Linked DNA regions of Macaca fascicularis. The protein of the gene in region 2 binds, or shares a complex with, the protein of the main gene of each other region. Links are inferred from orthologs where the notes say so. Each region holds a gene or a part of one and is shown on either strand. Other genes may lie near its edges.

Region 1 (4,087 bases), on a different chromosome or scaffold from region 2:
GCTGAGGTGAGAGGATCACCTGAGCCAGGGAAGTTAAGGCTACAGTGAGCCATGATGGCACCACTACACTACAGCCTAGGTGACAAAGTGAGACCTTGTTTCAAAAAAAGAAAAAAGAAAGACAAAGCACCCAATGATTATCAAATGCTGGTTAACAGGTCAAGTGGTGGATTTGCTAACATGGCAGTCCTTGGTTACCATGACAAGAACAGTTCCAGCAGAACAAGTAAGAGAAAGAATGAAAGGTGAGAAAGTAAAACAGAGTAAGCATAGATAAATCTTCCTAGGTATTTTGTTGTAAAGGGAAGCAGAGTAATAAGATAATAGCTGAATGGGGACATTGGTTCATGGAAGTTTTCCTAGGATTAGCAAAAGTACATTATGTTTATATGCTAACATGAATGATTCAGGAGAGATGGAAAAATTGAAGACTCGAGAGAAAGGGTATGTCACTGCCAAAGTAACCTTCTTAAGTTGGCAGCAGGGGATGGAATACAGAGGAAAAGTGGAAGTATTGGCCTTAGAAAAAGGAAAGAACAATTCATCTCTTATGAACGAACAGAAAGAAAAGTACAAGGATAAATTATGTAGCCTTGTGGTTTTGCTGGTGAGGCAATAAAGCAGCTCTCTTTTGGATTCTATTTTCTTAGGGAAGCAAGGTTATAAACTGACAAGGTGGGAAGAGAGTGTTAGAAAATTACCAAGAAAGAAAACAAGAAACAGTCATTTAAAGATTGACAAAGTGATTTTATTAGGAACTACGGTAGAACTTCAGGGGAGCCTACTTGACAGCAGTGGTTAAAAATTTTAAGAACAGCCCACACTGCTATCTATCTTTTCTAGGTCCATTACACAAGAGATAGCTGTCATGTACCCAGGTACTCTCCTTCCTATTTCCCAGTCAAATACTACCAAATCCTTCATCCAGTCCTCCTGAGCCATGGTTTCTAAGATTCATACATCTTGGTCACCTTTCTCTGGTCCAGTTAACAAATCTACCAGTATCTTTCTTGAAATGCTGTGCCACAAACAGAATGGCCCTTGGTACATAAAACAGTGGATTATTACCTTAGCCATTTTAGACACCATAACATATGTATATTACATAAACTGGCAGATGTGGCTAACATTAAGCTCTAATCAAAAGCTATACTATTTCCTGCCCTTGCGTTGAAATACAACATACCTGACTTAAATACCTAACATCTAGTCCAATTCGTAAATCATATGTGAACTGCTTTTCCAAATCATGCTAGCTCACAGCAACCTTTTCTTTTCTGGGGGGCTTATTATCTGGGGGGCTTATTATTTGCACCGCTTATTTGGCATTGCTTCAAGCTATCTGTTGTTTTTCTTTTGCTTATGTCTCATTTCTCCAGTTGGAATGTCAGCACTAAAAGTGGTAAGTATAGCACTAGAACAAAAACTAGTGTGTAAGCATATATATATATATATATAAAATATTTATTAGCTGACTTCCCAGTATTTTTCCCTATGGCTTCAGAAACTCTTTTAAAAAGTACATACTTTCATTCCTACATTTGTTTTTTTTTGGAGACCGAGTCTCACTCTGTCGCCCAGGCTGAAGTGCAATGGCACAATCTCAGTTCACTGCAACCTCCGCCTCCTGGGTTCAAGCAATTCTCCTGCCTCAGCCTCCCGAGTAGCTGAGACTACAGGCGCATCACGCCTGGCTAATTTTTGTATTTTTAGTAGAGACGGGGTTTACTATGTTGGCCAGGCTGGTCTCGAACTCCTGACCTCAGGTGATCTGCCAACCTCGGCCTCTCAAAGTGTTAGGATTACAGGCATGAGCCACTGCACCCAGCCTATTCCTAAAATTCTTATAAAAATTTACACTCTATACTTAAAATTATTTCATACATACTTGGTGGGTCAGCATTTTCGTCTCCAGTAGTATCCGAAGTTGACAACAGCTATGAAACAAGAGAAAAGTTAATAGGTAAAATCAGATATCCCCAACAATCTGAAAGGAACAACACTAAAGTAAGTTTATGTTAAGTATATGTATATATTCTATTGAGAACTGAGTGATTTATGAGCTTTACTTTGCTTTCTTTCACCCTAATCACATAGATTTCCTTAAATTTCATGTTATCCCAAATTAGAATTCAAGTATTTCTCTAGTTTCAGGAAAGTAGAAAAATGTATCAGTGGTTTCTCATTCCATTAGGAAAATAAGATTTTAACTGGGTTACTCTCAAAGGGTCTCAGAGCCTAACAAGTTATTTTTTGTTTGTTTTTCTGGAAAACAGCAAAGAGACACTAAACCTCCTTCTCTAATCCCATCACAAATTTGTACAGTGGCAGCATAAATGATTTTTCAAAATAGTAAAAACAAACAACAATCTTTTTAAAAAGCCCTAAACAATCAAGTTGATTACAAAAGTAAAAATCAAAGTTGTCATTAACATCAATGAAAATATGTACCTACAATTAATAAAAGAGAAATAAGTATAACTTCTAATACAGGTTGGTACAAAAGTGGTCACGGTTTTGGTCATGATTTTCAATGGCAAAAACCATGATTACTTTTGCACCAATCTAATAGTATTTTTATTATAAAGCAGAATTCAAAGTTGTTGATTTTAAAAATATATTTACCTGTTCAAGAAGATGAGGATATCTACCTTGAATCTCATCAACAAACTCTTGACCTTTCATTCGTATCAAGAACTCACACCTAAAACATATGAGGAAAATTATTTTTTAAAATTGTTCCATATCAATATAACCTGACCATTCTAGAAAAAATGGCTTTCAAATCTTTCATTGTACCCCACAGTAAAAACATTTTACATCACAACCCAGAACACATACATATCTAACGGGAACAAAATTATCATAAAACAATATACATCTTACTGTGTGTTATATATCATGGTATTTTCTTTTTTTTTTTTTTTTTTTTTTTTTTTTTTTTTTTTTTGAGACAGAGTCTTGCTCTGTCACCCAGGCTGGGGTGCAGTGGCCGGATCTCAGCTCACTGCAAGCTCTGCCTCTCGGGTTTAGACCATTCTCCTGCCTCAGCCTCCCGAGTAGCTGGGACTACAGGCGCCCGCCACCTCGCCCGGCTAGTTTTTTGTATTTTTTTAGTAGAGACGGGGTTTCACCGTGTTAGCCAGGATGGTCTCGATCTCCTGACCTCGTGATCCGCCCGTCTCGGCCTCCAAAGTGCTGGGATTACAGGCTTGAGCCACCGCGCCCGGCCAATATATCATGGTATTTTCTAATTCAATCCATTAACACAACAACAACAAAAAGAAAAGCGTCTGCACCTACAAAGGGGAACAAGTTGACTCCCAAAAAACACTATTATACACAATTTATTTTGTGCTTAAAGTGAACTACTTAACAGTTTCAGATACTATTAACTTAGTATTCCTACAACATGATCTTTCACAATATAACTGCTCATCTTTCTTCAATGTTCACTCTTCCATTACATTTGAGCCACAATCCACTACCTTCCCTCCAAAAAATATGGAATCAAATATTTTTATCTATATATAATGTGACAGTGTTTCTCAAGTATTTGTTTTTAAACTGATAGGGCTTCTTGAAGATGTTCCAAGAAGTTCACATACCATCTATATCCATTCTACTCCTTTTGTTTCTTCAACAAATGATACTCTACAACAGGATATACGTATTTAAAAAACAAAAAACTCTGACCTATGCCCATATTATATGCAAAAATAGCAAAAATAAAAGTAAAAATAGATCATATACCTAAATATAAAACCTAAAATAATAAAACTTCTAGGAAAAAGTACAGGAGAAAAATACTTTTGTCTTTACATTAGGTAAAGAATTATTAGACAAAAGACCAAAAACATCTTCTACAAAAGATAAAATTGATAAACTGACATCATCAACATTGAAAATATCTGCTCTTCAAAAGATGTTAAAAAATGAAAAGCCACAACACTCGAAGAAAGTTTGCAAGAGTGACATCAGCAAGACGGCAGACTAGGAGACACCAGCCTTCTTCCACCCACAAAAAACAATAAAGAGACAGCTATCCACAAACAAATACAGCTCTGGAAGAACTCAATAGCCCAAT
Region 2 (3,979 bases):
GCAAACAAAAAAACCCCACTACCTATTTTAGTTCTCTTTCAAGCAGTAGGGTTTTTTAAAAAAATCTCATTTAGCTGGGTGCAGTGGCTCACGCCTGTAATCCCAGTATTTTGGGAGGCAGAGGTGGGCAGATCACGAGATCAGGAGATCAAGACCATCCTGGCTAACATGGTGAAACCCCGTTTCTACTAAAAATACAAAAAATTAGCCGGGCATGGTGGCGGGCACCTGCAGTCCCAGCTACTTGGGAGGCTGAGGCAGGAGAATGGCATGAACCTGGGAGGCGGAGCTTGCAGTGAGCCGAGATCGGGCCACTGCACTCCAGCCTGGGCGACAGAGCGAGACTCCGTCTCAAAAAAAAAAAAAAAAAAAAATTCTCATTTAGGACCTCAGCCAGAAACAGTAGGCAGCTAATAAAGTAGAAGAAAGGGCCAATGACACACAAAGGAATGAACAAACTTTCATGACTTTTCTTTTGTAATGCCCATTCACTTGTCTGAGTGCCTCTGGCTGCCTGTTTATGCTAGATGACATGGCCCCACAACACCCCACTCCCTAAAGCTGAGTTGGCATTGGAGTGTACTAATGACACTCTAGTGAGAATTGGAGTGGGCCTGGGAAAGCCTCTGGCCATCGGATGATCGAGGTGCAGGCCAAGGTCAGAGAATGTGTGCAAGGTCTGGCATGGTGGTTCACGCCTCTAATCTCAGCACTTTGGGAGGCCGAGGTGGGCGGACCACTTGAGGCCAGGAGTTTGAGATCAGCCTGGCCAACTTGGTGAAATGCCATCTCTACTAAAAATATAAAATTGGCTGGGCGCGGTGGCTCACGTCTGTAATCCCAGCACTTTGGGAGGCTGAGGTGGGCAGATCACCTGAGGTCAGGAGTTCAAGACCAGCCTGGCCAACATGGTGAAACCCTGTCTCTACTAAAAATGCAAAAATTAACTAGGCGTGGTGGCATGTGCCTGTAGTCCCAGCTACTCGGGAGGCCGAGGCAGGATAATCGCTCGAACCCGGGAAGCAGAGGTTGCAGTGAGCCAAGATCGCGCCATTGCACTCCAGCCTGGGTGACAGCAAGACTGTGTCACAAAAAAAAAAAAAAAAAATTATCTGGGTGTGGTGGTGCACGCCTGTAATCCCAAGTACTTGGGAGGCTGAGACATGAGAACTGCTTGAATCTGGGAGGCGAAGGTTGCAGTGAGCCGAGATCGCGCCACTGTACTCCAACCTGGGTGAAAGAGCGAGACCTTGTCTCAAATTTTAAAAAAAAAAAAAAAAAGGAAAAAAAGAACGTGTGCAGCTATCAGTCTGTGGCTGAATGGCCAGCTAAATGGGCAAGTAGATTCAAGGAAATAATTTAAGAGGTCATAAAACACTTACCTCATGCCAACAACTGTACATGATGGTATATACCTTCTCTGAAGCCAGATGAGGCCTGTAGAGACGTAGGCCTTGGGCAATGTGTTCAGCAGTCTCACTGTTAGTAAATCTCTCATATGGCATCTTCCCCAGGGAGTAAATTTCCCACATCAAAACTCCTAGAAGACGAAAAAAAGTGTTAAATTAGTTTGCAGTCTTTTTGGATAGCAGGGGGTCCTAGTCTTCCTAGATCAACCTCAAAGATTAGAATCAGTTGGTTCCCCACTCTGTGCTTTTTACATTTTGCCCAAATTTCTGCTATAGTGCTGACCACACTAGATGGAGATCAGGGTCGTACTAGACTATTAACTCCTCTAGAAGAGAGACAGCATCTTATTTGTCTTTGTAGTTATAGGGTCTGGCAGAGTGCCTGGTACATAATCAGTATTCAGAAGCTGTCAAAAACTGAATGAATTGTTTTATTTAACATGGTTTAAGTTCTAAAAAGACAGAGATCATGTCCAGTTTAGTTTTTATCCTCAGAAACCCCTGGGGTGGCTGACACACAGTAAGCACTCCCCAAGGATTAGATGAATGAAAGCAAGAACAATCTCTCTGTGGAGGTTGCAAAGTGTGAATTTTCCCATTGCATTTCTTTTCCTTTGAGCTGTATAATCTATGTAATCTTATCCACTTACCAAAAGCCCAAATGTCAGATTTGCTGCTGAACTTGCTATACATCAGGACTTCCGGTGGGGACCACCGGACTGGAAATTTGGAGCCTACTGAGCTGGTGTATTCATCATCCAGGACATACCTGCAAGGGATCCAGGACTTGTTGTCATTAGGATTTGGAGAGCTTGGTATTTGCTTACGTTTTCTTGGCGCGGTCACAAGAGTGTTACAAACACACACTTACAGGCTTTCTCAAAAGTCTATCCTTCTCAACTAGTATCTTCTACAAATGTTACTTTTAACGAATTTCCTGTTTTTGTATCTGATTGAGCTTTCCTGATTGACAATATGGTTACAAGAAGGATGATGTGAAATAAGATCTAGTAGGTACTCCCTTCCTCTTCTCTATACTTTTCCTTTCTCTACTCTTCTCCTTCCCTTCCTTTTATCTGCAGTTGTCACTGGGAATTTGATTAAGAAAAAAGGAGGAATGGAATAAAGTCATCAGGATTAATAGATCGAGATAAGGTATTGGGGAAATAGCTAAAAAAAAAAAAGAGGAGGTAGAGATAAAGGGAGAAAGGGAGGAAAGGGATATGATGATAAAACAAAAGGATGAAAGAGGTGGCTTAAATAACTCAGAGGAAGAAAAAGAATAGAAAGATAGGCAGAAAACACTAGAATGAGAGAAAAAAAAAAAAGAAAAGGAGAGGATTAAAACTATAACACCTACCCATGTTTCATACTGTGCTATTTTTACTTCTGGAGGGAAAGATGAAAAAGGCACACTCACCTGGACAGGCCGAAATCAGATACTTTAACAACTCCTTGATCGTTTACCAAACAGTTTCGAGCTGCCTGTAGTGCAAACAGATACCAGTGAGACTCCGTCCCCAGCACAGAGGTTAAAGGCACAAAGCTTCTGCTGACCAGTAGAATGAAGGCAGGGAAGCCTCATCTCCTTCGACTACAGACACCTTCCCACCTAATAGGAATCTGTTGATGCCACCAAGAAATTTTGATTCATTTCCACCATGTGGAAAGCAACCTGCTGTGCAGTCCTAGGTAAAGCACTGAGGACATACAGAACGATTGCATTCTCATGGGCAATTCCATACCACCCCATTCCCTCACTGGTATGCTGAAAGAATTAAGGGAGAGGCTGAGTGCAGTGGCTCATGCCTGTAATCCCAACACTTTGGGAGGCCGAGGTGGGTGGATCACCTGAGGTCAGGAGTTCGAGACCAGTCTGGCCAACATGGCGATACCCCGCCTCTACTAAAAATACAAAAATTAGCTGGGCATGGTGGCGGGTGCCTGTGATCCCAACTACTCGGGAGGCTGAGGCTGGAGAATCACTTGAACCTGGGAGGCGGAGGTTGCAGTGAGCTGAGATGGCGCCACTGTACTACAGCCTGGGTGACAGAGCGAGACTCCATCTCGAAAAGAAAAAAAAAAAAGGAGAATGAGAAGTAAGTTTGTTTTGCTTTCTGCTTTTCTGCCAATGAGACTAGGACAATTTGAGCCTTGGCCTGACCGAAACAGGGACGCAAACTCTGATGCTTACAGGGGCCAGGCAAGTTAAGCAAGAGTGAAGTGAAGTGGATGGAGATTGCAGGAAATGGAGACTACACGCCTGGTCTAAAGGAAAGGAAGTGGTTTGTGAGAATGTGGACCTGGTATTTCCAGATGGTCTAGATTTTCAAGAGAAGCTGGAAATTCCAGGGTGTTTTTTTTTTTTTAAGTGAAATGTTTCTTTTTAAGGGTTTGCTAATTATTATATAACATTAAAAAAACAAACAAACAAAAACACATGTGGGCCAAATACATCCACAGGCCCAAGTATGTGACTCTGAAGGAACCAAATGATGACCCCATGACAGGAGCAGTCCCATTAGGAAGCACAGTCCCTTCTGTTCCAAATTCAGAATGGCCACTGAAAG

The links. The genes of interacting proteins can lie anywhere in the genome.
Region 1: the proteins of BTK (region 2) and BIRC2 are in contact, whole or in part, in a crystal structure (PDB 6W7O), measured with the Homo sapiens proteins. The link is inferred for Macaca fascicularis from reciprocal best matches to the Homo sapiens genes BTK and BIRC2. Residues at the interface, in NP_000052.1 of Homo sapiens: Leu483, Asn484, Arg487, Glu488, Tyr551, Ser557, Lys558, Arg562, Lys595, Met596, Tyr598, Glu599, Arg600, Phe601, Thr602, Glu605; in NP_001157.1 of Homo sapiens: Pro280, Ser281, Ser282, Asn301, Asp302, Asp303, Arg314, Cys315, Glu317, Ser318.

The regions. Positions count from the first base shown.
Region 1 is NC_088388.1:101,372,035-101,376,121, reverse strand, and holds part of BIRC2 (baculoviral IAP repeat-containing protein 2), read right to left. Parts: intron 2,705-4,087; coding exon 2,626-2,704; intron 1,938-2,625; coding exon 1,889-1,937; intron 1-1,888. UniProt on the Homo sapiens protein: Multi-functional protein which regulates not only caspases and apoptosis, but also modulates inflammatory signaling and immunity, mitogenic kinase signaling, and cell proliferation, as well as cell invasion and metastasis.
Region 2 is NC_088395.1:108,022,392-108,026,370, forward strand, and holds part of BTK (tyrosine-protein kinase BTK), read right to left. Parts: intron 2,895-3,979; coding exon 2,830-2,894; intron 2,179-2,829; coding exon 2,060-2,178; intron 1,541-2,059; coding exon 1,383-1,540; intron 1-1,382. UniProt on the Homo sapiens protein: Non-receptor tyrosine kinase indispensable for B lymphocyte development, differentiation and signaling. Binding of antigen to the B-cell antigen receptor (BCR) triggers signaling that ultimately leads to B-cell activation.